2 linked regions of the Mytilus edulis genome follow. The protein of the gene in region 2 purifies or fractionates together with the protein of the main gene of each other region. This does not show direct contact. Links are inferred from orthologs where the notes say so. Each region holds a gene or a part of one and is shown on either strand. Other genes may lie near its edges. The genes, in order: mitogen-activated protein kinase kinase kinase 7-like and ubiquitin carboxyl-terminal hydrolase CYLD-like.

Evidence for each region.
Region 1: the proteins of ubiquitin carboxyl-terminal hydrolase CYLD-like (region 2) and mitogen-activated protein kinase kinase kinase 7-like purify together in Homo sapiens (affinity purification with western blotting; 4 studies listed by BioGRID, with this or other methods). This does not show direct contact. The link is inferred for Mytilus edulis from reciprocal best matches to the Homo sapiens genes CYLD and MAP3K7.

Annotation. Positions count from the first base shown.
Region 1 is NC_092353.1:40,917,896-40,934,657, reverse strand, and holds the start of mitogen-activated protein kinase kinase kinase 7-like, read right to left. Parts: upstream 7,207-16,762; 5' UTR 7,067-7,206; coding exon 7,013-7,066; intron 5,447-7,012; coding exon 5,264-5,446; intron 4,385-5,263; coding exon 4,339-4,384; intron 3,574-4,338; coding exon 3,435-3,573; intron 639-3,434; coding exon 514-638; intron 1-513. Other genes in the region: PAX3- and PAX7-binding protein 1-like, read left to right, coding at 14,330-14,543, 16,693-16,762. UniProt on the Homo sapiens protein: Serine/threonine kinase which acts as an essential component of the MAP kinase signal transduction pathway. Plays an important role in the cascades of cellular responses evoked by changes in the environment.
Region 2 is NC_092348.1:95,287,690-95,305,265, reverse strand, and holds the start of ubiquitin carboxyl-terminal hydrolase CYLD-like, read right to left. Parts: upstream 7,325-17,576; 5' UTR 7,180-7,324; coding exon 6,718-7,179; intron 141-6,717; coding exon 1-140. UniProt on the Homo sapiens protein: Deubiquitinase that specifically cleaves 'Lys-63'- and linear 'Met-1'-linked polyubiquitin chains and is involved in NF-kappa-B activation and TNF-alpha-induced necroptosis.

The sequences.
Region 1 (16,762 bases), on a different chromosome or scaffold from region 2:
CAGAAACACTTCAAGATCTCATTTAAGGTTGCCATTCGAGGATCTGTCAAAATATGTTTTTCATTTGATGGTTTATACACCAAAATGAAAATAGCATATGTAATCAGATAAATGACCATTGTTTAGGATGTTGTTGAAATATTACCCAAAATGCACATGACTCTTTAATGGTGAATTAAATATTACCCAAAATGCACTTGACTCTTTAATGGTGAATTAAATATTACCCAATACATTTGATGGTTGATGGTAGATAACCTTCAACAGTACCAAGAATACACTAGATTCTTAAGTGAGGGGCTTAAAGGGGGGTATCTGCACGGAAGAACGCGAAAAAAAATTGCCATTTCACGATGAACGAACAATTAAAAATGTCTTGCACGTAGATCTTTTTACCGATTTCACAAAACACAGTGAATAACGAACCTTTTTCACGGCTGCACGTAAAATAAAAATGGCAAAACACGTTGCACGAAAAATAACCCTTTACCACCCTCTTAAGTAGTTAATTACCTTCAAATACTTCTGGTGCCATCCAAGCAGCACTTCCTTTGTTATTGGTCATGTGTGTCTGTATATCACAAGCTGTACCAAAATCACAGATTTTCAGAACTGTCCCTCCCATTATTAGAAGTAAACTGAAAATATGTTAAAAAGTCAATAAAGTTACAAAGTCCATGAAGTCATCAATTTTAATTTAACCTAATGTACATAAAAGGAATGATTATGATTTTTTTTTATGATACATATTTAATGATTGGTACTACAAAATTTCAATTCTTTCAAAAATAGTACCATTACCATAAAATGAAATGTTAGGTGAATCTAAACAAGACAATAAAATATAATAGAACCCAAGGACAAAAATAACAGCCTTCAACAACAGACAGTTTTCCATACAAAATGTTTAGTTGGAAATTGTCACAGTCTATAAAGTGGTGGAAAAAATTTAACAAAAACAATCAAAGATTCATACCTAAATCTGCAAATGATGAAAAACATTTAAATATGGCATAGCAGTACAGGTATAATTCAAATGTGTATTGGAATGTAATATGATTATTGATTGACTGCTGACAGCGGATTCCATTGAGTGCAGTGGTCTCGCTAGCCCAAAATAGAAGGGCGCCGCGCCCTGGGTGCCCTCAGCCGCGCCCTGGGTGCCCTTAGCCGCGCCCTGGGTGCCTTCATCCGCGCCCTTCTGCCCTGACGTCTTTTCCCAAAATTATCTTGTGCCGTTTTGGTAAAATTACGTTTCATCGATTTCTGATCTCCAAGTTAATTACATATATGACACCTGTGTGATTGCCGGGCCCCCAGGTTAATCATGTCATTACAATCAATTACAATGATAAAGACTTCAAAGGTGTTAATAACTAGGTAATTTAATTAGGACAATGTATCTTTTTGTCATACTTTTGATGAATGTGTTAGCGAGTGTCTTTTAGCTTGGGTCGGCATTTTCGATCTCCAAGTCACAATGGAAGAGGGTATATAAATGAAGACTTTCATGACTTTAGAATTGAATTTAAGTCATCAGAATAAAACTATGCCTTTACAGAAATGCCTTCCATCTCAACTTGTTAGCGACAAGCACAGTTTTTAATTAACCCAAACGTGGTGGAAATTGATTTTGGAGTTACTTCCCCTGTTTTAGCTTATTACAAATTGGTGCTCTAAAAATATTATCTAGTATCAAAAAAAGGAATAAATTACCAATTGAATATACAATAACATAATAATGTTACCTTAAAGATATTAACTGTCTTTGGACATATTAAAAAATATATATTGCAATTTCTACTTGATAATTATACTTTTAGCAATCCATGTTCTAAACATTGTTAAATTAGTAATGCTCTCAATTGCTTAAGAAATAATAAAAGCTGTAATTCCTATATAGATAAAAAAAAAAAAAAAACCCACATATTCTTTGATAATGGGTAGAGTGAAGTTAAACTGTAAAAACATAATATGTTGATGAAGATGTACAATATCATTCATAACTACACAAACAATGAAATAAAGACTATAGTTGAAAAGCATCTTTATTAAAAAAAAAAACATATACAGTAAAAAAAAAAAAAAGAGATTCGTTAACTCGTGATACACACAGAAACGTAGACAAAGAAATGAGCAGTGCCTTTTCTTATCATAAAAAGTGCCCTGCCCTCCAATGGCACCCTGCCCCTTTTGATTTCTAGCTAGAGCACTGGAGTGTGTAGCCAAAGGTAATATCTTTGGTTAGCTTGCTTGTTAGCTGAACCGTGAAGTCTTTATAAGGTAAGGTATACTACCCTCCTTTCAAAGTAGCATAGTCCAACAGACAGATCGATTGGTTTTCTGTTGGACTAGTCTATTCTTAAAGTAGGGTAATTTACCTAACCTAACAATGACTTCACGGTTCAGCTAACAAGCAAGCTAACCAAAGATATTACCTTTGGCTTCACACTCAATGGATTTGCTGTAATATTATATGCATTCTGATATTGTTCTTATACAACTACCCTAAACATAAAAGAAGATGAGGAAGAGTAAGCTCACAAAATTTTCATTAATAGAAATTTCAGATTAAAAAAAAATTGCATTTAAATAAAGACAATAATCTTAATTAACATTATTAACAAATCTATTATTTATTGATCTAGGTGTAGCTGAGAAAAAGCATAATGTAAAATAAAACAAAAGAAAAACACATCCTTTCTAACTTGCTGTTCAAAGGGAGATAATCAAAGTTTTTCTCAGATCATATAAACTATTGTTGATGAAATTAAAATTAAGTTGTAACCTTTTTGTGTTATTTTTAAATATGTTATTTGCTGTAGGTTCAGATATATTTCTAATTGGATGTCTTCTCTTGAAATGAATACTTTATCTAATAGTTAACTGGTTCAATAATAATATTTAGTAGAATATATTGCATGTATATGTAATTTGAAATACTTCATAGGTTTCCATCAATCAGATGCAACAAGGAATAATGTCAAATTATCTTGAGTATAAAGAAAGAAGAATTGGATGGAAAATAATGGAATCCAATTGTGGATGTTAACTCTGAGGGACATGCTTTTATACTCCAACAACTATCAGGGAACAGTGATGTACATGAATAGTCTGTGAATTAATTTATTTTCCTTGTTTAATTTTCTTGTATTTGGGAATAATTGATTTTTTGGGGGCTTCTAATTTTCCCAGTTTAACAAATTTATAAATGTGTATTTCATTGATTTTCCAAATTTGAGGTTCATTGTACCAGTAAAATGTGTATCCCGCTAATGATTATGTATCCACAGTATATAAATAAGGTTTTGACACCAACATACTTGTAAAATCATTAGACAACTTTTTTTTGTCTTCTTATGGCCCTTTTTTTCTTATGGTCTGTCTTTATCATATATAACTTCTTTATTTAGGTACGCTTTTTCTATACTTACTTTGGAGGTTTCAGATCTCTATGGATCAATGCTTTCGGCTTCATGCCATGTAAATACTCCACACCTATGGCACATTGAAGCAACCAGCTCATGGCATGGGCAGTGTTATAAATTGGTTGTGGACCAGCACCATGAAGCACTACAATATACAAGTATATTAGTTTTAAAGCAGGTCGAATAAGGAAACAATATTTAACATAAACAAAACAAATTACTATTTTGTAATTATTCCAATGAATTCAGAAATTCAGAGGAGTAGAAAATTTCTTAAAATTATGCAATGCGACAATAGAAATCTACATTTTGTACCATTTGGTTATATTTATGATCCCTTTTGACTCTTGTGGAGAATTGTCGCATTGGAAATTATACAACATCTTATTTTTATCATGTTTATATTATCAGCAATTATTAATAATCATATTTTTCTTTGAACATTGCAATTGGTTGTGATTGAACAAGAATCGCTAGCTGTTCAGGAGAATCAGATTTTATCACTGTTTTTTCAAGGCTAAATTCTATTTTTTGGGTTTCGTCAAGTTTTTGTTAGCTTAGACATTTTTCTTTTTTTATTTTACAATGAAATTGACTTTCCATTTTAAAACTTATAACCTTTTTCGAGCAATTATGTAATAAATCAAATGTTCTTTTTGTTCTATTGAAGAAGCAGCTGTTTCATTTAGAAAAGATAACTCAAGACACATTTTGCAGCTCATCTTGAAAGTGCCTGTCCAGGAGATTTTTAAGAAGTGTTTCATTTCATCAAAACCAGAGGATCTGGAAATGTCTTCAAAACAGAATGTAAGACAGAACATGTACATTGTCTGAAACTTGTAAGCAAAATGTGGACACAGCATCTGTACTTCAATAAGATTGACACACCTCTGTTGTTTATAGTACCTACCATTATACAGTGAGCCACCTTCAGCATACTCCATTACAAGACATACCTAAAATAACATGCAATCTTTGTACATGTATAATAAAATATCTAATATATATATATATATATATTAATATATTTTCTTTGTCTGTTTATGTTGTAATGTAACACCATGGTCTAAGGTTAGGGTGAAGGTTGGTGCCTGTTTAAACCTACTGTATTTTTTAAACACCTGTTCTAAGTCAGGAGCCTGTTGTTCAGTGGTTGTTGTTTATTGGTGTGGTTCATAGGTGTTTCTTGTTTCTAGTCTTTTATATTGATTAGAGATTTGGTGTTGCCTGTTTGAATTGATTTACACTAGTCATTTGGGGCCTTTTATAGTTTGCTGTTCCAGTTAAGCCAAGGCTCTGTGACTGTGTTGAAGGCCATACTTTGACCTATAATTGTTAATTTTTTTATACATTGTGACTTGGATGGACAGTTGTATCATTGGTAATCACACAGCATCTTATTTTTTATAATACATGCTTCCCTTTATTAATAAATACATGCAGAAAATATGTGTGAAAAAGATGACTTTATATCTGATGCGAAATATTTTCAGATTTTCATCTCTTACCTATGTCTACAACCAAACACATCTTTTTTAACTTTTTTAGTTTGAAGTTTTTTATTCTTTCAAAGTTTCAACTTGGAAATATTTCTTTTAAATACAGTCTGCACCAAAAACTTTTTCAACTACTAGTTCGAAGACCAATATTCTGACATTTTTCTTATTAGTCCAAACAAAGTTTTGCAAAAACTTACTAGTCTGAATGAAATTTTACCAGTCTGGGTCATCGGACTAGTGGCTAACTGTGCAGACTGTAAATATCAGCACGATCAGGTGTACCACAAACATGCATTATCATCATGATCATATTTAAACCATATACAATGTACTTACTGTTGGTGGTTTAGTACAAGCACCATACAGTTTGACTATGTTAGGATGATTAACTCTTGACAGCTGCTTTAACTCTGTCATAAAAGCTTTCCTCTCGGATTCGGTTTCTATTAGTTTTACTGCAACATCTTTTGATCTCCATTTTGCTCTACTGACAACTCCAAATGCTCCTTTCCCTACAACCTGCAAAAAAAATTAAAACAATATTATTTTAAATAAATGATTGTCATTCTATCTATCAACAACAATACAGTATATATTTCCAACATTACATCTTCATTGTACAATGTATCAAACTCAATGATTTTGTACTAAATTTTTAAACTGCAACTTTTAAACAATGGACAGTTGTTTGAGATTAGACATTCTGGTGTAAATGATATATAAGTATATGTTGTACATGTACAAATATTTTTTTCAAATTTAAAAATTTAAAAAGTAAGTTATTTATTGGCATAAATGAAAAAAAGTTGAGGACTAAAAATTTGATCCATCTTCCCACAAGAACAATTTTGTTTTTTGGTCAATATTTCATATGTACATGTAAGCTATAGTAAAGTAAGATACATTTACATATGTACAAATATATATACATGATATATGTCATGATCAAATGTAACAAAATAAACCACACAAAACCAAGTAAATTCAATCAATATCATGGAAACACAAATTTATTTATGACATAACATTAACAGAAATATAAAAAGAGTTTAATATAAAGAATTTTTAGATGATAAGAATAATAATGATTCATGAAGGAAAGCCAAAAACTCTTTCTCAAGCATGACAAGTGGTAAATTTAGCAACTACCAGCTGAATTTATTGGTTTACAAATTTATAAATTTCATTTCTTTAGATAATGGGTATCCGGTCGTTCTGTCTCCAAACTAATCCGGCCCAAAGTCGATCCGGCCCACATAATAAAATATTGAATAATCTATACTGCCTTAGGCAGCAACTGGGGGGGGGGGGGGGGGGCTATGGATTTTTTTGGAAAAAAAAGTTTGTTTCCAGTTTTTGGAGAAAAAAACAATTTGTTTTTGATTCTGAGAGAAAAAAAATGTTTAGTTTCCCCCTTAGCTGCCACTATATGTAATGCTAAAATTGAAAGAAAAAATTGTTTTCGACTTGTCGCGAGAAAAATATATTGTTTAGTTTTTCGCCACAGGCGAAGAAGAAAGTTTGTCCAGAAAAAAAATCTGTAGCCCCCCCCCCCCCCCCCCAGAAAATCAAATGGTTGCTGCCTTAGGAGATTTGGTGACAGATTTAAATCAGTATAAATGGAATTTGTAAAATCTAAAAGTATCGATAATTGATGACATTGCTGTATTTTGAATCGATACGAAAATGAGTGCAATGTGTCTGTTTAACCATACATGTCAAAGATTAATGAAACAGTAACTTTTTGTACTCATTTTAAAAAAAAATAAACACACATGTTACGGCCTAACTGACAGTTTGGCTGTACTGGCGGACACATCTTGAATTTGGAAGTTGAAGCAGCGGCCGAATTGTCAATTTTTTAGAGCTGTACTGTAGAATTATCATATAATCTAAAAGGTTTTTGTCCACCTGATTACTACTCATAGTGGTTGACAATGCACAAACATAATGTAATCGTATCTTTCATAACTTTATGTCTACTCTAAGCTATAATAATACAATGGAGAATATGATTATGAAAATCAAAACATGGACAGGGTTTGACAGACTAACATATATAAACAAATATACAAGAAGCATAACCTCGTAGAATTGTAGTTCTCGAAAGTCTATCTCCTCCACAAAAGTGGGTTCCATTTTAAGTTAAATACTCATAAATCTACGTTCGTCTTTTCCATGAAATAGGTTTTAAAAAATCCCTGCCCATATTTTGGTCGAACTGAAAGTGGAGGAACTTGGGAGACTCGTTTTGGAATTAGAGCAAATCATGTTACACTGATGTGTTCATGTTATGCAGTCGATATCAACCTAAACCATAATTCCGGAATCATCCGGAAGTTACCGAACAAGCGCGATTGTGAATACGACAATCGCATGTTCATGTTCATGTTAATTAAAGTGATATTGGTGTTTCAGGATTAAAGATTTTGTCAAACGTCAACGAAACAAGTCTTTATAAAAGAAACGTAAAGGATATGGCGTGACACAAATCAGCACATGCATATTTGTTAGTTAATGACTACTTACTAGTATATGCGTACATGAAAATAGACGTTTCGGCCATGGTGTCAGTTCGGCCTTGCCAACGGTTAATTAACATTAATTCGATTTAAACTTAAGTTTGGACACTCTCTCAAATGTAATTGGAATTAAATTATAATCAACTAATTGAAAAGTTAACGTCGTTTGGACGGTGCAGTGAAGAGAATTTGACACGCATTGCATCTACATCTACATCTAAATCTATACTATTGATCTGCAGTGGACATCCATAACGCAGATACTGCTGTGCAAACGTCAACCTGCGTGCTCAGTATTTACAATTGCAATTAAAATTCGATAAAAACAGGTGGTTTCTGTTTACAGCTGCAGTCTCCGAAGTTGCTCCTTGAAGCTTTCCAGAGACTAGCTTGGAAGGTTTCAAGAATCAGGCTGTTCCAGTCAGTGATGGTGCGTAGTTTGTAGCTGTAATTGTAGGCATCTGTGGAAGTACTGATCTGAGTGAATTTTCTGGATGGTATTGTCTATAATAATAATAATAATAATAATAATCATAATCATTAAAATGATGATGATGATGATGATGATGATGATGATGATGATGATGATGATGATGATGATGATGATGATGATGATGATGATGATGATGATGATGATGATGATGATGATGATGATGATGATGATGATGATGATGATGATGATGATGATGATGATGATGATGATGATGATGATGATGATGATGATGATGATGATGATGATGATGATGATGATGATGATGATGATGATGATGATGATGATGATGATGATGATGATGATGATGATGATGATGATGATGATGATGATGATTACAATACACAATATATACGATACATAAAGACAATACTAACACATATATGGTAAAATATATTGGCATTATTTTGAGTGCAGTATCCTTAAGTGTATGAAAAATTTGCTGACTGTATTTTATCAGGGATAACGGCCATGAAAACTCTAAAGCTTGTTTCCAATGGGGTCCCTTCATGGAAACGGCTTATAGTTTCGACATACAAAAAAGATAACACAGAAATCAATATGACATAAAAATTCTTATAAAAATAATTTATATAAAAATATGATTAACAATATAAAAAGGAGTCTGATGACGCCGCACTATAACTTTTGGCCAAGTGCTCTTTGACGCTAATTTTGAATTTCTTTATTTTCTTTATTTTTTTTAACATTAATTGGCAACATATTCCAATCTTAATTGTATGCCATTAAAATAAAATGTGTCTTTAACTGGAGGAACCCAGAAGTTATATTCCTATGGCATTAATAATTTTAAAAAGGTTTACTTTTATAATGTGAAATGTGTATACTGTATTATTGATGGTGAGACGTTAATAAATTATTATTGTATTATTGTTGCACTATTTCGTGTGAAATGATGATGTAAATTTCTCACCGTTGTATAAAATTTGAATAATATAATTAGGACAATGATGGTAATAAATATTATGTATGATGGTTTAATCTCAATTGTTTAACACGATTTTCAATATTAACATAACCAATACTATTCAATACATTATGGTCAACTTTTGAACTATATCCAGTGGTTTTTTTTTTTTATAAATCTAACACATTTGTTTTGTAATACTTGTAACTTATCTTTATATTTTTTGCTGACACCAGCATACCATGCAGAACAGGCCTATAGTCAAAATGACATTGAATTAAAGCTGTAACTAAAGTCTTTCTTGATTGTTCAAATAAACATTTTGCCTGTCTGTATAGGAACTTCAATCTTGAATTTATCTTTTGAATAATAGTATTTAAAAAAATTTCTCCAGAAAGAGAATTATCTATATTAAGGCCTAAATATTTCACACAATATTGCGAGGAAATTGTGTGATTTTTACAAGTAACATCAAAGTTACGGATTTTAGATAATTTACGTTTTGACCCAAACAGAATAGTTTCTGTTTTCCCCAAATGAAGTGATAATTTATTATCAATCAGCCATTTGCTACAAGATTCAAGTTCCTTACCAAGTTTCTCAGATATAACTTCTGGGTTTTTATGAGAGTATAGTATGGTACTATCATTTGCATATAGTAAAATTTTGCAGTCTTTACTAATACTTATAGACATGTCATTAACATATAGATTATAATATAGGAATAAAAGTGATTCTTAAATACTCCCTTGTGGTACTCCACATGTAATATATCTTAAATCAGATTCAGTACCATTTATACTAACTTTTTGTTGTCTATTACATAAATATGATTCAAACCATTTATTACATTTTTTGTAGTTTGTTGCACAATATAAGATGGTCGACAGTGTCAAAGGCTTTTTGTAAATCTAACATTATCATTCCAGTATAAAAACCCTTAGCAGTTTCATTTTTAATATGATCTAACAAATGAATAAGACATGTATCTGTAGAATAAGCAGATCTGGAACCAGCTTATAAATTATAAAGTAGATCATTTTCCACCAGATATTACTGACGATCAATGCATTGAATATGTACATATTGTTGGAATCCCCCTTTCTCCTGGGTTGGGAACCCCCTTTTAAATGTGGCTCGATCCGCCTCGATCAATTCCAGTCAGTATTTACCAAAGAAAACCTAAATAACTTTCCAGATAAAGGAAAAAGTCCATACTACACCATGAAGGACATAAAAATTAGTACCAACGGAGTCCACAAATTGTTAAAAAACCTGAAACCGCATAAAGCTACTGGTCTCGACTCAATACCAGCCTTTATACTGAAAGCAGCAGCAGAACAACTTGCTCCGATACTCACAGACCTATACCAAACATCATTGAACACTGGTGAAGTCCCGCAAGATTGGAGAGATGCCAATGTAGTTCCACTTTTTAAAAAAGACGAAAGGCACCTAGCATCTAACTACAGACCAGTATCTCTAAATTCAATCACGTGTAAGGTCTTAGAACATATTGTACACAGCAACATCATGGACCACTTTGACAAAAATAAAATACTAACTGATGCATAACACGGGTTCCGCAAAAGACGATCACGCGAATCCCAACTAATCGTAACCATCAACGACATTGCATCAAAATTAAAAAGCAGCGGCCAAGTAGACATCATCCTGCTAGACTTTGCAAAAGCATTTGACAAGGTACCACATCACCGCCTCCTACACAAGCTGGAATACTATGGCGTCAACCCCAAAACCAATAAATGGATTCGCTCCTTCCTACATAACAGAAAGCAGAGCGTGATATTAGAGGGTGCTGTCTCCTCACAAGTACCAGTACTCTCTGGTGTACCCCAAGGCACAGTCCTTGGTCCATTACTGTTCCTGGCCTACATAAACGACATGCCAGAAACAGCATCTACATCAGAGACCAAATTGTTCGCGGATGACAGCCTACTCTTTCGTACCATCACCAACCAAGCTGACAGTGAACTACTTCAAAAGGACTTAACAGCATTGGAAGACTGGGAAAACAAATGGCAGATGAGTTTTAATGCCAAAAAAAATGCCTTGTCATCAGAATATCCCCAAAAAATAGACCAGTGATACAAACATCGTACCAGCTACACGGTCATACTCTAGACACAGAGGAAGCAAGCAAATATCTTGGAGTAACTATCAGCAACAACCTAACATGGGATAAACACATAGACAATACAGTAGGCAAAGGAAACAGAACGTTGGGATTTATACGTAGAAACCTCAAAGGCTGTACAAAACCTGTAAAGGCAGCTGAGTATGTATCCATGGTAAGACCTGCAGTGGAATACGCAAGCACAATATGGGACCCAACCGCCCAAAATAAAATCAAGGCAATTGAACAGGTCCAGAAAAGAGCTGCACGATTTGTGAATAACAACTACACAGACCGAACACCTGGCTGTGTCACAAATATGGTTAAAAATCTGAAATGGGAAAGTCTAGAAGAACGGAGGAAAACAAATAGATTATGAATGCTATTTAAGATCCAGCATAATTTTATAAATATCGACCGTCACCAATATTTGACACCGAATGATAACCGGACCAGAGGTAAAAACCGCTTCTTCCAAGAAAGAACAAGTACAGACACTTACGGCCAATCTTTCTTTCCGAGGACAATCAGGGACTGGAACAACCTACCAACAACAGTTACAGCGACCAACACCGTTGAGGGATTCAGATCTGCCCTGAAGGCATGCTCTGAAAGGAAGTAGGAAAACCCAGTTGTAAATAATTTTAATTGTATATTTTTGCGAACGTTTTAAATGTATTTGTAAATAGCCAAAAGAAAGCTTTCTGTGTTGCCCGACACTGCGTAAAGTTTTCGCGCGGAACCATGAACATTCAGTATTGAATCCGGTTCCTTACCTGGAAGAAGAACGAGATATTCGTGTAGCGGCCAAAAGTATACAATGGTGGTAATATCTGTAGGGCAACATATATAAATAATATATATGATATCTGATACCGGTATATCCACTATTTTAACTTCATTTTTCGGTCCAAGTTCCCCTGTTTACATGCACAGACATTATTTTATTTTTTACATTTCTGGTTATTATAGAATTAGTTTTTCCGGTCGTCACTGAATACAAAAAAAGTTTGAAATAGAAAATTTGATCATATAAACCAAACATGATCGTTTTAGATTAAAAATCAGACATGAAATAATATGTTTTGTTACGTTGAAGGTTTCCAAAGAACTTGACGTGTTATAATGTAATAACTCTCAGAACCCTCTCATGAGCCATCACTGTTTCTTTACAGTATGGATCAGGCATTTGTTAAAGCCGCTTAGATACTACCATATATTTGCTATAAAATCACATATTAATTAAATAATTGAGTAGATATAAAAAGATGTGGTACGAGTGCCAATGAGACAACTCTCCATCCATGTCACAATTTGGAAAAAGTAAACCATAATAGGTCAAAGTACGGCCTTCAACACAGAGCTTTGGCTCACATCGAACAACAAACTATATAACGGGTCCAAACTAAATAACTAGTTTAAAACAATGCAAACAGGAAGATCAACGGTCTAATATTTATTAAAAAAAATAAGAAACACTTATAAACCACATCATTATCAACAAACGATAACCGCGGAACAACAATAGCATTGTTCCTTATGATATCTATACGATGAGTTTATTCACTTAGACCCGGTGCAAAAAATAACCGAATTCAGTTTTGTTTTGAAAATGGAGGCAAATAACCATCACATTCCTCTAGCTACTTGATGCAATGTTGCTTAATTGCAACAGCTGTGATTTATAAGCCAACTAGGCAAAAGCAATTCATTTTTTAAAAGATCAAAATTAAAACAAAATGAATATAGTATATTTGTTAGAGTCCTTTAGTTTAAACATAATTATTTATAGTGGATTCGGAAACAGTTTATTGGTACTTATATTAATCCCTTTCTACTTTGCGGGTGCGAGTGTCTTGTAGCGGCATTACTGCGGCCTGTTTTTTTTCGAAATCTATAAGGGTGTACAGTTTACGTGTAAGAGATATCTCTCTCTCTCTTAACATGGGTAAGCCATTTATCGTCCCCTAGCTTCTAACGGACTATCATCTTTTCTAAAGACCATATACTCGCAAATGGTGTCAAGGGAGAGTCCTTTCTTATTTGTGATGAAACAAACAGAACAATGATGAACAAACAAAGAGCAACAATTATTTAGACGCAATTATGTAACGTTATATTCTTCTGATCTACGCCTGATTACTTTATTAACATCAATGAATAAGAGTTGATTCTTGAAAAAGAAACCATGGGCCCGGATTTTAGAACAATGAATAATGGTGACTTTTAAAGTAACTATAAGTATATCAGTATGCTATTATGAGTATATTAAAGGCATTTTCGTTAAAATGGGAGGGTTTTTAACTGCAATTCCCATTATGAGTGACCGCATGTTGCAACCTTACCGGATCAGTGTCATCACATGCATCATCCCCCTCGACAATATATTAAAAATATATAATTTTGTATAATTAACTGGGACTTTTATCTTATATACGCGTACGGTCTGGCTAATATTAAGAAGTTAGTTCATTAGATTCAAATGTAAATAACAGATCAACAAATCTTATATTTCAAATTAATACAAAAAGTTCAATAGATATTGAAATGAAACTGACTTAATATTTTAACTTTTTAAAAAGGTCACGCTAGTTTAATCTGTTAATCTCCTGTAATTATATTAGCATGGCAGTAATGCTCATTGAAATTGAAGTTAACGGATGTAAACAAAATGAAGGGGGACAATTGTTTTAGAATATTTGGGAACTTTAAAACAAGAATGCATATGCAAAGAAACATGCATGAACTGCAAACATGTAAATGTAAAAAAAAAAATAATAACATTGTGGTAGTAAGTGTCAACTTGAGCGAGAGTACATAAATAGAATCATCAGATATAGAATTAAACAAACATTTAATTTCAATTGTACGCTTATTCCTTTATCCATCTAATGTAAAAATAACATCTTGTAGAACTAAAACTACAAATGTTTGGTAATTGGTTTTTCTTTCTTAGATTTAATCCATATGATATGATACCTAAACATGTATGGTCAGCTGGACCGTACGCGTATGGTCGGACCACACGAGTATACTTATACGGTCCGGGCCGTACGCCTACAGTCCAAATACTCGTATGGTCTGGAACAGTAAAACTAACTATAATGCGGAGCCGGAAATACATTATTACTCGTTTTGCATTTGTATAATTTAAATATCTGCGAACAATGAAACAAAAGGAAGTATAAAAGTAGAAAGAATCGATTGGTATGTAACATGCCGACTGTAAATTAAGCTTTTGATTCAGATTTGATTTGATTGATGTAATTAGGGTTACCAGATGATTATTTCAAATCAACACTTTAGTGTATGCTGTTGAAGCAACATGGCGACGTTTAAAAAGCCGCGACGTAATTTTCGAGGTAGAAAAATTGTAACAGAAGAGGAATCAGACGAAGAAAAGGATGACGATGTACAAGAAATGGAAGTTGACGAACAGTCTAATGATGCTGAAGGACCAAAGCTTTCCAAAAAATCAAAGAAGAGTAAAAAAGAAGCGAAATCGTCTTTGAGTTTTGTCCATGATTTACAAAATGAAGGTTAAAATATATATTATTTAGATATCTGTAATTATATAAATAAAATGCATATCGGTCATGCGTGACACCTACAATTTTGGGTGTCAGACCTCTTCATTGTCAATATTTTAAACTTGTTCTGAATGTTCATTCAGACTTTTTGTAGTTCAGTGAAAAGGGGGGGGGGGGGCAATACACTTTATCGCTAATCCCGGCTGACCCGACCGCTTGAACTTTTGATGCATATAACAATCACTTTTCCATTGTGGCGTCAGATATTTTGCTTTATGACGTCAAAATTTTACGGGAACCTGTGTGATATCCGTGGCCAGCATGTCTCCAGTAATGTCGGACAAATAGCGATAAGGTGTATAGGGGGTCCGTTAACATGTTAACAACACCTCAAATTGGACAAAAACAGTTAACAACAAATGCAAAAATGCTGATAGCTGTTAACAAAGTGGGTTGAAAATAGTTAACAGTTAAATCAATTTTTTTTTCTAATATAGGATTTCGATATATTTTTTTATAAATGAACTTTATCATATACTTAAAAGAAAAATGAAATAAAAAGATGGGGTCACCGTTCATTTAAGCTCACAATCTGCCTCTGGAACAAGCATAAATTTTTGTTAATGTCCTTTTTTTCTGTTGAACTAATAGGAGAAATAGATGTAATATCGAAATAAAAAAATAACCTAATTACAGAAATCGCTTAAATTTTACAATTATTTAGTTTATGTACAGCTTATTTGAAAACAATAATAAAAAATATAGGTCACCGATGAGTTAAAAAAGATATTTCAAATTAAATGACAAAAAATGGCATTTTTGCACCAAAGGGAGATAATTTGGAGCTTTTTCAATGATATAAACATTTTAAAAGTCATCTGGGACCAAACTGAATCAATTTTTTGGGTTGATTTTTGTACCATATCATAAAGTTATAACTAATAGTGTAATAAATAAAACTTGTAATGAAAAAATAAAGGTTTAATTTTTTGCTAAAATTTTTGTACCCAGGAGCCACCTTAACAACACCTTTAAAAAGGCCAAAACAGATTAACATAAAAAGGTATTGGGGAAAATATCCATCATTTTTTTCAAATTGGGAAATGTATAATAAACCAAGAATTTGACTGGAACTTCAATTTGCAATCCCCTTTTCAAGAGGTAAAAACCTAATTTGAAATAAGACCGTCTTATTGTCAGTAATGATACATAAATAGACCCTCAAATCTGCATATATAGGGTCATTTTAGGCATGAAAAATGTTAAAATGAGTGTTTTTTCAGTTTATATTCATGCCGTCTTCATGCTAAATGGCAGCCCAGGCTTGTAAAATTGCTCTTGGGCCTGTTAAATAATAAAATCATATCTACAGGCCAACAGAATCTAACTAAAAAATTTCTTAAATTGAGCTACTGGCCTGTAGATTTAACAGTTCATTGTGAAGACTGGTTCATGCACAACTACTACTGAGACTGCACTGTTTGGGGAAAAAAAATGTCTTTTGGGAAATAATTTTAAACCTTTTTTTCAAATTTGGATTCTTCTCCAGGGGAAAAAGCCTTTATTCTCCAGTAATTTAAGGCAAACAATATCACTAGTAGTAGTACTGAAAATTAACAAGATTCTTTTCTCAAAATCAGTTGATTGTTTTATCGTCTTAAAGAGATTGTACATTTTAGCGTCATGCACCAAAAATTACTGTTAACGTTATTTGGCAATAATTTTTACTGTTATTCCTCATGAAGGTACCCCTATTACCACCCTCTGACATTGTCAACTCACTTCAACACTTGATTTTTCTTGACTAACAGTGCTACATGTAACTGAAAAATTACCAGAAAAACTTTAAGGAAGGCTATGTCTAACTCTATAAGCTTAGAATATAAGATAGGTACGGAAATAGGACTACGGAAACACAGTTTTACCCTTTTCCCTCTGTATGTCCTGTGCGTCCCTAAGTTGGTTTCCATTCTCTTACTCTAGTTTGCCTCCACCAAATGTCATGAAACTGATACACAATGCTTATTACTTCAAAACACAGATCCAGTTTGAATTTTGGTGGCGTCACTTTACTTTAACTTTACCCTATACTACTTAAAACTATCTGAAATATGTACATGAACTATGTCTTTGATTTAACTCCCTTTCAATATTTCAGGAGAAGAAATCAAGATTAAAAAATCTAGTCACAGCAAAAAACTGGCAAAGATGCTAAAAAAGGAAATGCA
Region 2 (17,576 bases):
GTAGCTGTATTAACAGCGTGTCTAGATGTTGGATCAGCTCGGATTTTATGCAGAGGCACAAACACCCCACAGTTTGGTTCACAAGTGAAGAACCGTTTCTTACGGAATACTCCATCACAAGTACCTTTACCTCTATGTTCCTGTAATACACAAAGTCATAGGTTATTGAGGTTAATATTTGCTTAAACATTCAGAATGTACAATCAAACCTGCTGTTAAGGTCACTGCTATGAAGGTCACTTCAATTAAGCAAAAACCTGTCACGTCACACTCTTCTTGTCCCACTGTAGTAATACCACATTCAGAAGTCACCTCTCTTATGAATTCATTATACTCTTGATCAGAAGGTGACCTTAAATCATAGTTTAGTAACTCTTGTGTAAAGTATATTAGTTGTGTACAATGCATATAACAAATGAAGATGTGGTATGATTGTCAATGAGACAACTCTCCACCAGTGACCAAATGACATAGAAGTTAACATCTATAGGTCACCTTACCTCACTCCTTCAACAATGAGCAATAAAGAAGCTGGTGTGCATGGTCAGTTCAATATCTTTCAAGATGTTTTAATTATTGGGGAAAAAAACAAGCTAGGTTGTAATCCCAATAATTTAAACTGGCATTTTGGATTTGATGGCAAAATTCTCTCAGTATCACAATAATATTAAGTCATTTTGGGATAAAATGACAAATTTGCAGCAATAATTTGCATAATGAAATTGAGAATGGAAATGGGGAATGTGTCAAAGAGACAACAACCCGACCGAAGAACAGAAAACAGCCGAAGGCCAGGAAACAATTTCAGAATTTGCAGTACAGAATAGTTCTCAATCATACCTCATTAGCATGATAAGTTATATTACTCTCAACATATTTAGTCCAGCATTAATAAATGTCTTTCTGCTGCCTCGAAGATCATCACAACAGCAATTTGATGTCAATCACTAATGCACAAGTGAATTTACATTTTGTTATGGGGAAATGTATTGATATGATTTTGTAAAATGTCACCTGAAAGTCACAAAATGGAGGGTCCTCATTTCCCAGATCACAACAAGCAAATATTTCACTTCCTTTGGTTACATTTTGAGGGATGCAGGCTTGGTACATCCCACAAAACAGATAGATAATTAAGATTTTGTTTATTACATTGATAAGTCTGTTAGGCATGTTAGGATATCACTGACTCATTATCTTGTGTGCTTGCTGACAAAAAGATCAAAGTATCATTTTTATATGCAACAGATCTATTCAAATTATCAAGACAAGAATACTTAGAAATTGTTGAGAGAAAAAGTTTGTGTGAAAATTTGAAAATGTGCATGTCTTCCATGCATAATTTTGTGGAATAATAACTGTTTTTTTTTGTTTTTCTTGTATCAAGCAGGTCTTCTAGATCAGTGCAAGCTTGCACAATATCTTAAAAAAAAAAAAAGGCCTACATGTATGTGACATAAATATTTGATAGTATGCCAAAAAAATTACGCCTACATACATTTGTAAATCTTTAGATTTTCAAAAAATCGACCACGGAAGTTACAAACAGAAATCATTGCAATGATATTAATAAAAAAGCATCATTTACCCCACGACATGGTGAACCACTCCTTAAAATAGTGGTCTGATCGTACAAATAAAAACACAGATTTGGTTTTCCGTAATAGGTCAAAATGTAAGTGACACTAAACGATAACTTTATGTAGTCAAAAGCTAAGAAAACTTCCTTAAGGCGATTCATTTAGTTTCAATGCGGTGAAAAGTCAGGTAAAACCAGATACCAGGACATTTTTCTCGAAAGAAAAGTAAAATAATAACAATTCTATCAAGTTAAAAATAGATCTCCAACATTCCTAACCTGTCGAAATCCATTTAAAAAATTTATGAATGAAAAACTTCAAAAAGTCATGCCCCTGTATGCAGGAAATACATGAACAGTTGCAATTGGTGGCAATGATTTGTGATTTATTTTTTGCAATGTTTTTGGAGGACATTGTGTAAGTCTGATATCCAGAAAATCAATGGCAATAATTTCAGAATTGATCACATTCAAATTTGGTAATCAGATTATTTTCCTTATAAATATTTATATATTTATGCATTTATTATTTGATCCTAATAATCCTAAATACAAATATCAATAAATAATTTTTGTACAAACCAAACTGTAAAAATTATCTTCCAATTTAAAACAATGTTGAATTCAAATCACCAAATATGAGAGGTTTGGGTCTGACTATCATCTTAATATCAGAATTCTAACATAACAAGATAATCTTAAGAATCTGAGTTGTTTCTAATGTAAAGCACAAAAAGGTCAACATGGTCAAGAGCCACGGAAAGGAGTCAATGGTAAAAGTCTACAGATTGCCTGACAGCAAGTTTATTCCAAAAATGTAGGTTGTGAGTTAAAACTAAGCTCTTGGCAAGTGCATTTGACTCTAATCTTAATAGACCATGATTGCCAGTTTTCGTGTAAAGGTACAAAATGTATATCCTTTTATAAGCAACAAATAAACCATATATCTGTGACACAGCTAATATTCCAAAAAGGCCCAAAAAATCAACACAATATTTTTATGCAATGATTCCTGCATTTTGGATTCTATACATTTGTAGGTTTTGTTTGCAGAAATCTGAGGAAAAAGTTGTTACAAGAACATTTGGGTATAGGAGAAAAATAGAATAAACCAACGAATGTTTAAACTTATATATATCATGTATATATACATATTATTACCAAACTGAACAAAGAAATAACACAACGGGTGCCGTATACGGTGCAGGAAATGCCTACCCTTCCGGAGCACCTGATTTCACTCCCGTTTTTTAGTGGAGTTTGTGTTGTTTCTTATTTATTATTTATAACTGTTGATGTAAATGTCCCTTGGTTTTATGAGTCTTTGTTTACTCCTTGATTTTGATTGCTATTGTCTTATATCAGATAAACCAAAGTTGAAGGATAGGTGAATTGAAAAGATATGATGCCCTAAAACATCATGCTACATGCATGTAAAACAACTGAAATATTTATTGAAAGTTTTATTATTCAAAACTTTTTGAAATTTGTTTTCCAAAATATAAATCCATATATATATAGATATGACTTTAACAACTACTAAAAAAAGCTGGTCTGTCAATTTCTGAAAGAAAGAAAAGAATGCATGTACTTTCCTGACAAAAAATAGGACCTTGTACAATACAAGAGTGCACACACTGAAATGTCTCGCCTTCTTTACTAATCATTGATATTATGTTGATACTCCTAAATATAAAGCTTTATTATGACTGTCACATAAACTTAACATAAATCATGAAAATGAGGTCAAGGTCAGTTGAACCATATGCCAGGCAGACATGTACAGCTAACAATGCTTCCATACAACAAACATGACAAATATAGTTGAGCCTATTGCTTATAGTTTAAGAAAATAGACCAAAACACAAAAACTTAACACTGAGCAATGAACCGTGAAAACCAGGTCAAGGTCAAATAAAACCTGCGCGACTGACATATAGACCATAAAATATTTCCATACACCAAATATAGTTGACCTATGACATATAGTATTAGATAAAAAGACCAAAACTCAAAAACTTAACTTTGACCACTAAACCATGAAAATGAGGTCAAGGTCAGATGACATCTGCCCGCTAGACATGTACACCTTACAATCATTCCATCCAACAAATATAGTAAACCTATTGCATAAAGTATGAGAAAAACAGACCAAAACACAAAAATTTAACTATAACCACTGAACCATGAAAATGAGGTCAAGGTCAGATGACATCTGCCCGCTAGACATGTACACCTTACAATCATTCCATACAACAAATATAGTAAACCTATTGCATAAAGTATGAGAAAAACAGTCCAAAACACAAAAACTTTACTATAACCACTGAACCATGAAAATGAGGTCAAGGTCAGATGACACCTGCCAGTTGGACATGTACACCTTACAGTCCTTCCATACACCGAATATACTAGACCTATTGCTTATAGTATCTGAGATATGGACTTGACCACCAAAACTTAACCTTGTTCACTGATCCATGAAATGAGGTCGAGGTCAAGTGAAAACTGTCTGACGGGCATGAGGACCTTGCAAGGTACGCACATACGAAATATAGTTATCCTATTACTTACGGTAAGAGAGAATTTAACATTACAAAAAATCTGAACTTTTTTTTCAAGTGGTCACTGAACCATGAAAATGAGGTCAAGGACAATGGACATGTGACTGACGGAAACTTTGTAACATGAGGCATCTATATACAAAATATGAAGCATCCAGGTCTTCCACCTTCTAAAATATATAGCTTTTAAGAAGTAAGCTAACACCGCCGCCGCCGCCGCCGGATCACTATCCCTATGTCGAGCTTTCTGCAACAAAAGTTGCAGGCTCGACAATAAATTATGTCTGTTACCATGGTTATTGTATATTGGACTGTATGCTGCCTGTATATTATTACTATTTTTTAAATGTTTGTTTTAGCATTGCATAACATGGGTTTTTTCATGGAGTTTTGAAATTTTATACTACAAAATTAATATAACTTCACTTGTTTAACAAAGTTATAACTCATGAATAGTACATCTATGTTACAAGTTATAAATGGCACATGTATCCTTTTTTCAAAGAATTTGAATTTCATGACCTGTATAACCTTCCTTTACTTTTACATACATGTACATTTGTAAGTTGATACCTTAGTCTGCTTCGTTTGTTTTCATTGGTGGAAATTTCCATCCAGGACAATTTATAAGATGAATTTAAATTTTAAAGAAGAAACTGATGTATGTACAATGTACTCTGTAAGTAGTTAAATTTCTTGTTCATGTAAGTAAACATGTGCCATGTATGCATGATTACAGAATTAGAAAATGTAGAATTAAATACATGAAATATATAAATAATGCCTTCAATTTCTAGTATTCATCTGGCATCAGGAAAATTTAAATATTAAATATCTATACTAGTTACATGTAAAAAGTCTTATCTGCTTATACTTTTGTACAATGTACTTTTGCATTGTCACATTCTATAAACATGATAAATAATTATATTTTGTATATATTCTAACAAAATTTTCTGGGGTACTATTCATTGTCCTTATCCTTAATTTCAGGAAAAACAGGAATCAGAAATATGAATACTATAAATTCAGAAATTATTGCGATGTTTTTATTAATGCAAAAATGCCAAAGGTTTACATTGCAATAATTTAAACTCTCGTTTTGAAAAATTTATATGAACTTATTGGATATTTCTCAATATTGCAAAAATTAAGATCGCATTTATAGATTAATTTTAGTCTAAAATGACAAAATCGCGATAATAAATGCACGCAATAATTTCTGAATTATTGTATAAATTTGTTAGCTCTGTACACACTTTTTAATCAAGTTTCATAAATTAGGAATTCAATTGACTTATTAAACAAGTTACAAAAGATGACTGCATTTTAACAGTCAGGGATATAACTCTATCGGGTTATTACAGAAAAATAACATACATTTGTTATTGTGGACTGAAAAATCAAAGAACTGTGATAACATATATGTATGTTACATGTTTCAAAGGGACAATATACATCATCAGTTTAGTTTAAATGTATAAAAGTTCTCTTGATATTACTTTTGTCTATTAGTAAACTTAACTATTGAAAGATACAATGTATAACAGTTCATACATGTAGTTTGTCAATTTTGCATAGTACACCTATATCATGTATATATGTTATTGCAGAAAAAAATTGCCTGTAATAACTAAAGGGTGTTGTCACAGCTTCTCTATATCATATATATATGTATTCTTATTTATTGTAAGAAATAATGACCAGATCTAGAGCATGTAATGTCATGAATGTTCTGCACAAGTTTCTCTGTAATTCCCAAGTGTCTTATATCATGTATATAAAAAGTTATATTCTTTTAATAACCTAGCCTTGTTATCACAGCTAAGTTTATCCCTTAATAGCCTCCGTCTTATTGATTTACCATGGTTAATAAAAAATGTATTAATTAAATTAAAGAATTAGTTATCAAGGCTATGTATTTAGTTTCTGCGCAAAGTCTCAAGAGTTCACTAGAGCCCACTATAAATGAAATAATTTTACAAATAACAAATATATTATGTTATTACAGATTTCAAAAAATTTAAGGAATAAAGAGTAGACAACTCATGAAAGTAACTGTAATCACACACGCAAGTTATTTTCTGTACCCTATAGAGTTATAAATATCTCTGACTGTTTATGCTTTAATTTAAACATGATTTTAATAGGTAAATGTACAGGTACAAAATGTACTTTCATTTTAAATAAGTCCTGCCGACACCTCATGTTGCATTATTACTAAATTTAACTGAATTGTAATAAATTAGATTTTAGAAATCAGTGTATTTTCATCTTACCTGTTATTTCCTGACCTCTGACATAATTTAATTCAAACTTTCCATCTTTTATTTTACTTTCTGTTTCTATCTAAAATTATGTTAATAATGAAAAGCCATTTTGTAAATCTTGCATCATCAAGAACAGAGATATGGGACTCACTTCATAATGCTTGAAAACATGTTTAACAGAGAAACATGTGCAGAAAATTTTAGTAATATCTCGAATAAATCCGGATATTTTTGTCCGATACTGTTCCGCGGACTAGTATCTTATGATAAACCTCTGAAATATTTTGAGGATAGGGCTTCTTACCGGAGCTAATTCGACTCCAAATTGGATTCCTTTTTGTCCTGGTAGCTCTCCTCTATACCTGAGAAGGCCCTGTAACTCAGGGTGACCTTTTAAATAAACAATAACTCCATCTCCAACCTTTAAATTGAGGCCCTCTTGAAGCCAATTACTGTTCATGTAAACTGCAATCCTTTCACTACATACTGGGATAGGCTGTAATAGTTGTAGTTCCAATCTATCAATTTGTTTTATTTCATCGAATACTGGTTTACATTCTACTTCAATGTTTTCCGGTTCTAATGTTTCTAGGGTCCAAATTGCAATCCCATTTTCGTCCCTCTCACTATCGCTTACTCTAAGCAGAAGTGTGCCAGCTAGGACTTCCACACGAGAATATGATTTTCTAAGAATTCCTGACTCCTTCTTTTTCCCTATCTTTGTAGTAAGAAGTATATAGTATTCATCTTGAGGATATTCAGACATATCCAGTCCTATTTCATCGACATTTGTTTATATTCGTGGCATCATCAAACGGGGAATCATTATCGAACTTTGGGGAACTCCAAAACGCTTAAAATAGACTGATACGTCATAATACCACAACAAAAGACAACGAACGACATATGATACTTATGGAACGCGTAAAGCACATTAATAGATAATCACAGTTTATCGGCGACAATGATAGATTATCGGTCGACCATTATAGATGTACGGCGTAAAGTATACTTTACGGTCGACCATCATAGATGGTCTAATTAATGTGACTCGCGCGCAGACAATGATAGTTACTTCTTTGATAATGCATTTACAGTCGACAAGGTGAATTGTTTCGACAATGATAGTTAACCTCGACCAAGTGAATTAAAACACAAGTCGTAAATTTGATAATTTTAGATAAAACCGGAAATGCTAGCCAATTGTAAAATCGATTTTGATTGGCGGTCAACTTATTTTCTTTGGAAGTTAATTCCTTGAAAATAATTCCTTAAAGCAAAAGTTACCCTTTCTAAAACATGTTCAACAGGTGTTTTAAAAAATAAATTTCGGACTTCACATCCTTGTATTAACTATGATGGTAAAGTGCATCGGACTATTCGTGCAACAGAATGGACACAAGAGGAACATAGTTTCCAATTTTCAATCCTCGAATATTGAAGCTTCTTGTAAAATTTAAAAGTTCCACACATAAATAAAGTTTTGTTTTCTCTATCGTTTACAAAGTAAAATACCTTTTATTATCATATACATGTATATTTGTATTTTTTCTCTTAAAGGTTTGATTTTTACAGGTAAATGCATATTACAGGTGGCTAGATGATCACATGTTTACCTGTAATATTGCTAAGAGGTGTCAGAAGTTAAATTTCTATAACAACTGACCCCAATAAACGTTGACATAACAGGGAAAAAGTGTTTTTTAAAGAATTTTATAATCAATAAATTAATTCGAGACTGTTTAACAGTAAGAAACAAATTTTCAACATTCATAAACAAGAAATCTTTAAAGATTTATGCTCTATGGTTCTTTTTTTGTGTGTAATTATTTGGGTTGTTCTTTTGTTCAGAAATCTATATATCATTTCATATAATAATATTTTATGAAGTTAGTGTGTCTTAACACTGATTAGGACTCCTAAGTGCACTAAAAACTTATAATACGACACTCTTGACAAGAAGGAGTACTATTAAATGTAAAAAAAAATCATGTTTTGTTAGAAATTGATATTTAATGCATAAACTCAAAATAATAAAATAAACAGAATAACAAATAAATGAAGTATTTAACAATGTTAATCTTGCCGGTTTTTCTTTGATTTTACCGAAAATCGATGAACCGCAAGATATGGGTCAAATTACATATCTGATTACTCTATTATCTTAAAAAAAAATGAAAATTTTAAACTTATTTGCATAAGAAAATATCTCAGACATTATATATGTTTAACATAGAAAATACTTTAAGATTCCGTGAATATTATTTTTAATAAGACATCTATAGATAAAAGCTTAAGTGTACCTTGGTGAATTCAATGTTGTGATGTCATAGCAGATCTTAGAATACAGAAAGTTGTTACTTATAACGATATTTTTATGAATTGACAAAAAAACATTTGTCCCGGGTAACCGTCCTCCCCCTCTATGATTTGTTATTGCCGAAGTGGGAGGCTAAAGTTTAAAAAAAAAGCCGCGACCTAACACACTACAGAACAGCAGACAGTGGATACAACATTTGATATGTTTTAAAGACACAGTTGGACACAAAATGATTGCACTGGGTAACTTCAACTATCACATGATGCCCTATGAATTAATTGACATACTTGAGCTTGTCTTAGGAATATATTCTCAATGAACAAAAACGATTTCAGTAAATGTTTACTATAAAAACAGACAACAGACTTGCTGTCTTGAATACAATTGTGGCTTGTATTGTTTAATTCATTTTTAAAGCAACATTTGATCGATTGTTGGTATGTGTTTTCTCATTTTTACGGCTGTAATTTGTTTTCAGCTTTGCCAAATTAGTGGAGATAACTCAGATAAAGTATTTTTACAATTATAGAAATGACCTATTTTAATATGTAGCATTTGATTTTTTTTTTGGGGGTGGGGGGTGCTATGGATTTTTTTTTGGAAAAAAGTTTGTTTCCAGGTTTTGGAGAAAAATAATATTTGTTTTTGACCTTGAGAAAAAAAAGTGTTTGTTTCATCCTCAGCTGCCACTATATGTAATTCTAAAATTGAAAGAAAAAAATTGTTTTCGTCTTTTCGCCAAAAAAAAGTTTGTCCAGAAAAAAAAGTCCTTGCCCCTCCCCCGAAATTCAAATCTGCCTAAGAGCTATATACCGTAATTTTGATTACTTTTTTCTCAGTAAATTTTTAAATAGATATAGAATTAATGAGTGCAATTTAGAAAAAAGGAAAATTCATTTACATTCTTCAAAAATGAAAAAAAGTATTAAAGGTTATTTTCCAATATTCCCGTTGTTTGTGCATGACTCTTCGATAACTAAAAAGAAGAACCAGACTTTCATAAAAAAAATTAAGAAGATGTAGTATGATCGCCAATGATTCAACTCCAAAATAGACCAAATGACACAGAAATTAACAACTGTATGTTACCATATGGCCTTCAATAAGGAGCAAAGTCCATACCGCATAGCTATAAAAGGCCCAAAATGACAAATGTAAAAACAATTTATGCACGGAATCATGAAAACAAATATGTTTTACAGCAACAAACGACAACCACTGAATGGATCCTGACTTGGGACAGGCACATATAGAATGTGGTGGGTTAAAACTTATTCGAAGACACTAACCCTCCTAATATCCTGTGACAGTGATAAAACAGTACAACATAAGAATAAACTATAATTAAATTTAGTGGAAAAAAGCTTATATCATCAGTTGGGTACAAACAAAAATACATCTAACAAACCAAAAAACACAGAGTGCTATGACTATAGGATATTAATCAAGTGACTGCTATGATCGTAGGTTATTCTTCACGTAACTGCTTTGACTAAAGAATATTCATGATATTCATCAAGTAACTGTTTCTACTATATGATTTAAATCAAAGTAATTGTTATGATTAAAGGTTACTTATTAAGTACATGCTATGACTATAGGTTATTCATCAAGTGTCTGCTATGACTATAGGTTACTATAGAATATTCGTCATTAAACTGCTATGACACTACGATATTCATCAAGTACCTACTTTGACAATAGGATATTCATAAAGTACCTGCTATGACAATATTATATTTCTTGTGAAACTGCTATCACAATAGGATATTCATTAAGTAACTGCAATGATTGCAGGATATTCATCAAGCAATTGCTATGACGATAGAACATTCAAAAAGTTATGACTATATGATAATCAACAAGTAACTGCTTTGCCTATATGATATTCGTCAAGTAACTCCTATGACAATTTGATATTCAACAAGTACCTGCTTTGAGTTAGTATATGATATTTATCAAGTACATGATATAGCAATAGGATATTCATCATGAACTGCTTTGACTATAGGATATTCATCAAGTAACTGCTTTGACAATATAATATTCATCAAGTACATGCTTTGCCAATATGATATCATTCAAGTAACTGCTACGACTATAGGATATTCATCAAGTACATACTTTGGCAATAGGATATCTTTCAAGTAACTGCTATGACTATATGATAAACTTCAAGTACCTGCTATGACAATAGGATATTCATCAAGGAACTATTATGACGATCGGATATTTACCAAGTCCCTGCTTTGACTATAGAATATTTATTAATTCCCTTATTTGAATATAGAATATTCAACACGTAACTGCTATGACAATAGAATATTCTATCAAGTACATGCTATGACAATAGGATATCCATCAAATAACTGCTATGACTATAGCATATTCATCAAGTACCTGCTATGACAATAGAATATTCATCAATTCCCTTATTTAAAATATAGGATATTCAACAAGTAACTGCTATGACAATATGATATTCATCAAGTACATGCTATGACAATAGGATATCCATCAAGTAACTGCTACGACTATAGGATATTCATCAAGTACATGCTTTGGCAATAGGATTTCTTTCAAGTAACTGCTATGACTATATGATAATCTTCAAGTACCTGCTATGACAATAGGATATTCATCAAGGAACTATTATGACGATCGGATATTTACCAAGTCCCTGCTTTGACTATAGAATATTTATTAATTCCCTTATTTGAATATAGAATATTCAACACGTAACTGCTATGACAATAGAATATTCATCAAGTACATGCTATGACAATAGGATATCCATCAAATAACTGCTATGACTATAGCATATTCATCAAGTACCTAATATGACAATATTATATTCATCAAGTAACTGCTATGACTATAGGATATTCATCCATTCTCGTATTTGAATGTAGGATATTCAACAAGAAGCTGCTATGACTATAAGATATTTATCTAGTAACTTCTATGACAATAGGATATTCATCAAGATCTTGATATGACAATATGATATTCCTCAAGTAACTGCTATGACTATAGGATATTCATCCTTTCTCGTATTTGAATGTAAGAGATTCAAAAAGCACCTGCTTTGACTAAAGGATATTCATCAATTCCCTAATTTGAATGTAGGATATCCAACAAGTAGCTGCTAAGAATATAGGATATCCATCCAGTACCTGCTATGACTAAAGGGTATTCATCAAGTTACTGCTATGACAATATGATGTTGAAAAAGTACCTGCTTTGACAATAGAATATTCTTCATTAAACTGCTATGACAGTATGATATTCACCAAGTACCTACTTTGACTATAGGATATTCATAAAGTACTTACTCTGACAAAAAGATATTTCTCAAGTAACTGCTATCTTAAGAGGACTTTCATCAAGTAACTGCTATGATTGCAGGATATTCATCAAGTAACTGCTATGACTGCAGATTATTCATCCAGCATCTGCGATGACAATAGGATATCTTCAAGTAACTGATATGACTATAGGATGTTCATCATGTACCTGATTCGACTATACGATATTCATCAATTTTCTTATTCTAATGTAGGATATCCATCCAGTACCTGCTATGACTAAAGGGTATTCATCAAGTTACTGCTATGACAATATGATGTTGAACAAGTACCTGCTTTGACTATAGAATATTCTTCATTAAACTGCTATGACAGTATGATATTCATCAAGTACCTACTTTGACTATAGGATATTCATAAAGTACCTGCTATGACAATGTTATATTTCTCAAGTAACTGCTATCACAATAGGATATTCATTAAGTAACTGCAATGATTGCAGGATATTCATCAAGTAACTGCTATGACAATAGAACATTAAAAAAGAACCTGTTATAACTATATGATAATCAACAAGCAACTGCTTTGCCTATATGATATTCGTCAAGTTACTCCTATGACAATATGATGTTGAACAAGTACCTGCTTTGACTATAGAATATTCTTCATTAAACTGACATGACAGTATGATATTCATCAAGTAACTGCTATGACTATAGGATATTCATCCTTTCTCGCATTTGAATGTAGGAAATTCAAAAAGCACCTGCTTTGACTAAAGGATATTCATCAAGTACCTGATATGATTATACGATATTTATCAAGTAACTGCTATGACTGCAGGATATTCATCAAGTAACTGCTAGTACTATAGAAAAATTAACAAGTACCTGCTATGACAATAGAATATTCCTCAAGTAACTGCTATGACTATAGGATATTCATCAAGTACCTGATATGACAATATGATATTCATCAAGTAACTGCTATGACTATAGGATATTCATCAAGTACCTGATATGACGATAGGATATCCATCAAGTAACTGATATGACTATAGGATATTCATCAAGTACCTGATATTACAATATGATATTCATCAAGTAACTGCTATGACTATAGGATATTCATACATTCTCGTATTTGAATGTAGGATATTCAACAAGAAGCTGTTATGACTATAGGATATTCATCATTTAACTGCTATGACTATAGGATATTCATCATTTAACTGCTATGACTATATGATATTCATGAAGTTCCTGCTATGATAATAGAATATTCATCAAGTAACTGCTTTGACTACAGGATATTCATCAAGTACCTGCTTTGACTATAGGATATTCATCCATTCTCGTATTTGAATGTAGGATATTCAACAAGAAGCTGTTATGACTATAGGATATTCATCATTTAACTGCTATGAAAATAGGATATTCATCATTTAACTGCTATGACTATATGATATTCATGAAGTTCCTGCTATGATAATAGAATATTCATCAAGTAACTGCTTTGACTACAGGATATTCATCAAGTACCTGCTATGACTATATGATATTCATGAAGTACCTGATATGACAATATGATATTACTCAAGTAACTGCTATGACTATAGGATATTCATCCATTCTCGTATTTGAATGTAGGATATTCAACAAGAAGCTGTTATGACTATAGGATATTCATCATTTAACTGCTATGACTATAGGGTATTCGTCATTTAACTGCTATTACTATATGATATTCATGAAGTTCCTGCTATGATAATAGAATATTCATCAAGTAACTGCTTTGACTACAGGATATTCATCAAGTACCTGCTATGACTATATGATATTCATGAAGTACCTGATATGACAATATGATATTACTCATGTAACTGCTATGACTATAGGATATTCATCCATTCTCGTATTTGAATGTAGGATATTCAACAAGAAGCTGTTATGACTATAGGATATTCATCATTTAACTGCTATGACTATAGGATATTCATCATTTAACTGCTATGACTATATGATATTCATGAAGTTCCTGCTATGATAATAGAATATTCATCAAGTAACTACTTTGACTACAGGATATTCATCAAGTACCTGCTTTGACTATAGGATATTCATCAATTCTCTTATTTGAATGTATTTACATGTACATGATTTGGAGCAGATTTTATTTTGCAGGAATAAATTTGTATTTCAGAAAGAAATTTATTCATAAAATAAGAAGGATTAGCATTTTTTTTTAATAAAATAGAAATTGGATTCCAAAAAAAAGGGAGGGCTAGATGGGTTTTTGTTGGCATTGGATGATTTACAAAGATAAGTTGCATGTACGCATCATGATAGATGTAAATTCTGAAGCTATAATTAGTTAATTTGTTAGTTTTTCCATTTCAGTGGCATGAAAACCCCCCCAAATACTAAGCGTATAATTTCGACGAATACTCTCGACTTACAGTGTAATGTAACATTTTGCTCACATTTTTTTAAATTTTACCCCGAACATTTTTCTGAGTAAAAGCAGTTTGAAGTGAATGTCAAAATTTGAACATGACCTTGTCCTTGACCTAATTTTCTAAGTTGGGACCCAAGGACCTTCAATAAAGCGACTCTATGTTTATACGGCTTACGGTTTATGAGTTTATATGCATATCACTTATATCAAATGCATAAGGGGAAAGAACTTTGGTGCAATCCAAGTCATCATCTTGAAGATATAGCAAGCACTTTGGTAAAATAAATTTGTCGTAATTTTTTACGGTTGTGAAGGAGTAGTGGACACAAGGAAAACAGTGTTCGGGGAGATAACACTTACAATGTAAAGTGTACGGTTTAACAGGGTCAGTTTCAAAAGCGCAATAACTGTTCGATATCATATGCGAAAAAATCTAGGCGACATCTTGCGAAACCACAATACTACGTAAGAACAAAATGTGGCGGAAGAAAAACAATAAATCTCAGAACAAAACCAATAGGTCTTTCCACGGAAAAGTTTAAAGACCTAATAATCAAAACCAAATAAATGGGTCTTTCCACGGAGAGGTGGAAAGACCTAATAATCAGAACAAAATCAATAGGTCTTTCCACGGAAAGGTAGAAAGACCTAAGTAATATGATTGTCAATGAACTATGAAAGTTTTACTATTATTCTAGCAAATAACCTTATGTCATCTCCGTGCCTATATCATCGTCCTAAGAATATATGAAATATTTGCCTCTGAACGTTAATCAACCAATAATCGATAATTCATTAATATGTCAAACCATTGAAGGTAACATGGAAACTACGTACAAACTAGTATGATTGTCAATGAACCATAAAACTTATACTATTATACTACCAAACAGCCTTGTCTCTATATTATAGCCCTAAAAAAACATGAAATATGTGCCACTAGATGTTAAGCGACCACAATCAAGATTTCATCGCTATATCATTTCAAACCTTATACAGAACATGAAAACTAGTTATAAATCAATATGACTGTCAATGAACTATGGAAGTTATACTATAATACTAGCAAACAACCTTCGGCCATCACTATATCATCGTCCTACACATACATGAAATATTTGTCACTGGCATTAAAACAATCACAATCAATAATTCGTCGTTATTTCAAGTCAAACCTTAGTTGGAAACATGGAAAATAAATACAAATTAATATGATTGTCGATGAAATATAGATGTTATACTATTATACTAGCAAATAACCTTAGGTCATCACTATATATATATATATATAGCTATTTCATCGTCCTAAACATACATGAAATATGTTCCACTGAACGTTAAGCAACCAACAGTCAATATTTCATCACTATTTCAAACCATTGAAGGTAACATTGAAACTAATATGATTGTCAGTGAACTATAGAAGTTATACTACTATAAAAGCAAACAACCTTATATCATCACTATACCATCATCCTACACATACATGAGATACTTGCCACTGGGTTTTAAGCAATCAACAATATATAATTCTTCGCCAATCGTATCAAACCTTAGAAGTTACCATGCAACCTGATTACAAATAATATGATTGTCAATGAGCTACCTATGGAAGTAATGCTATTATAATACAACAGATCGTTGGCGTTTTAATGGGCGGAGTTGCCTTCCTGGAAATATTTTATATTGCTATATTTGACAATGACCATAATAATAAACAATAAAATAAAGCAATATCTTACAAAAATAATATCAAATTGCACAAAAGAACGAGAAATAATGGATTTAATATATTCAAAGAAGACGGTGAACAAAAACTATTTGAATTTAATTCCTTTACAAATTGCGAGAATTATTAGAAACAATAGCAACATGTACAAAATTTGTTTCTGAATATATTCTGTCTATAGATATTCATTGGTTATAGTTCTGCCAAATTAAAATATTTTGATTCTTTCAGATTAAGCTGTCTGCCTGTGAGGCTTACTTTCTTTTACAAATGTTTCACCGTCTATATGATTCTTTTTTGTTTCTCTTGATAAACTTTATTTAATTATGTACAATTAGATATTCACTAGACAGTATTTGTTGGCCTCTGATGAGGGTTTACCTTGGAATATTCCTGAAAGAACCCGAAACATTGCATATTAAATTCTATAGAATTAAGCAATATAAAGTACGTAGTGTCAGGTCAGAAATATTGATGCCATACCATGAATAAGTGGATTTATGGTTATTATATACACCAAACAAATAAAAAGCTACTTTCTCGGCATTTCTTTTAATTTAAAAATTAAAATCTGGTAATGATCAGTTGATATTGCAAGAAACTTTTCTGTACCGCATTTATTTGCTAAGGTTTGCTTCTTAATTACACAGTAAAATTATATGTGTCCGATTTTCCAATAATTAGTTCTGTAGCCCGAGTTGTGACTGGATTTACAGGTGTGCGATTGCGCAATTTATTGCCCTCCAATTAATCACCTGAAATTAAGCTGGAGGTGAAGTTCTAAATGGATTATCACTTGGTAATTGTTTTTACAACTAAACAAATTACTTTATTTAAACAGAAGCACTGGGCAATACTATGGTATTCAATCCGGAAAAACAATATATGTCACGGTACATATATATTATATATATGTGTGTCTCTGTTAATGATAAAAAAAAAAAAATGCACGATTTTTTAATATAAAATATTTGATATAAAAAAAAATATTTTGTTATATTAAAAATGATAAATGATGCATTAATATAGAAATTAGAAAGTAAATTATTCTACAACGACTTGTATATGAAATTAGTACCAGTTATAACTTATTAACTTTGTCACGGTAAAATTATTATAAGTATAATAATTAATAACTGTAAACTTGCATGTAATATAATTTCGTCTCAATTTTTACAGATAAACAGTATTCTAAAATACTATTAATTGTCGGTTGTTGAGATCTAGCTAGACGATCAATTTGACTTAAACGCGTTGTCATTTGAATCGATGGATATGATTGGACAAAATTAATTAGCATTGTCGATAACCTATTGTGATTGGGTACATATGAATTGCTATCGAAAACA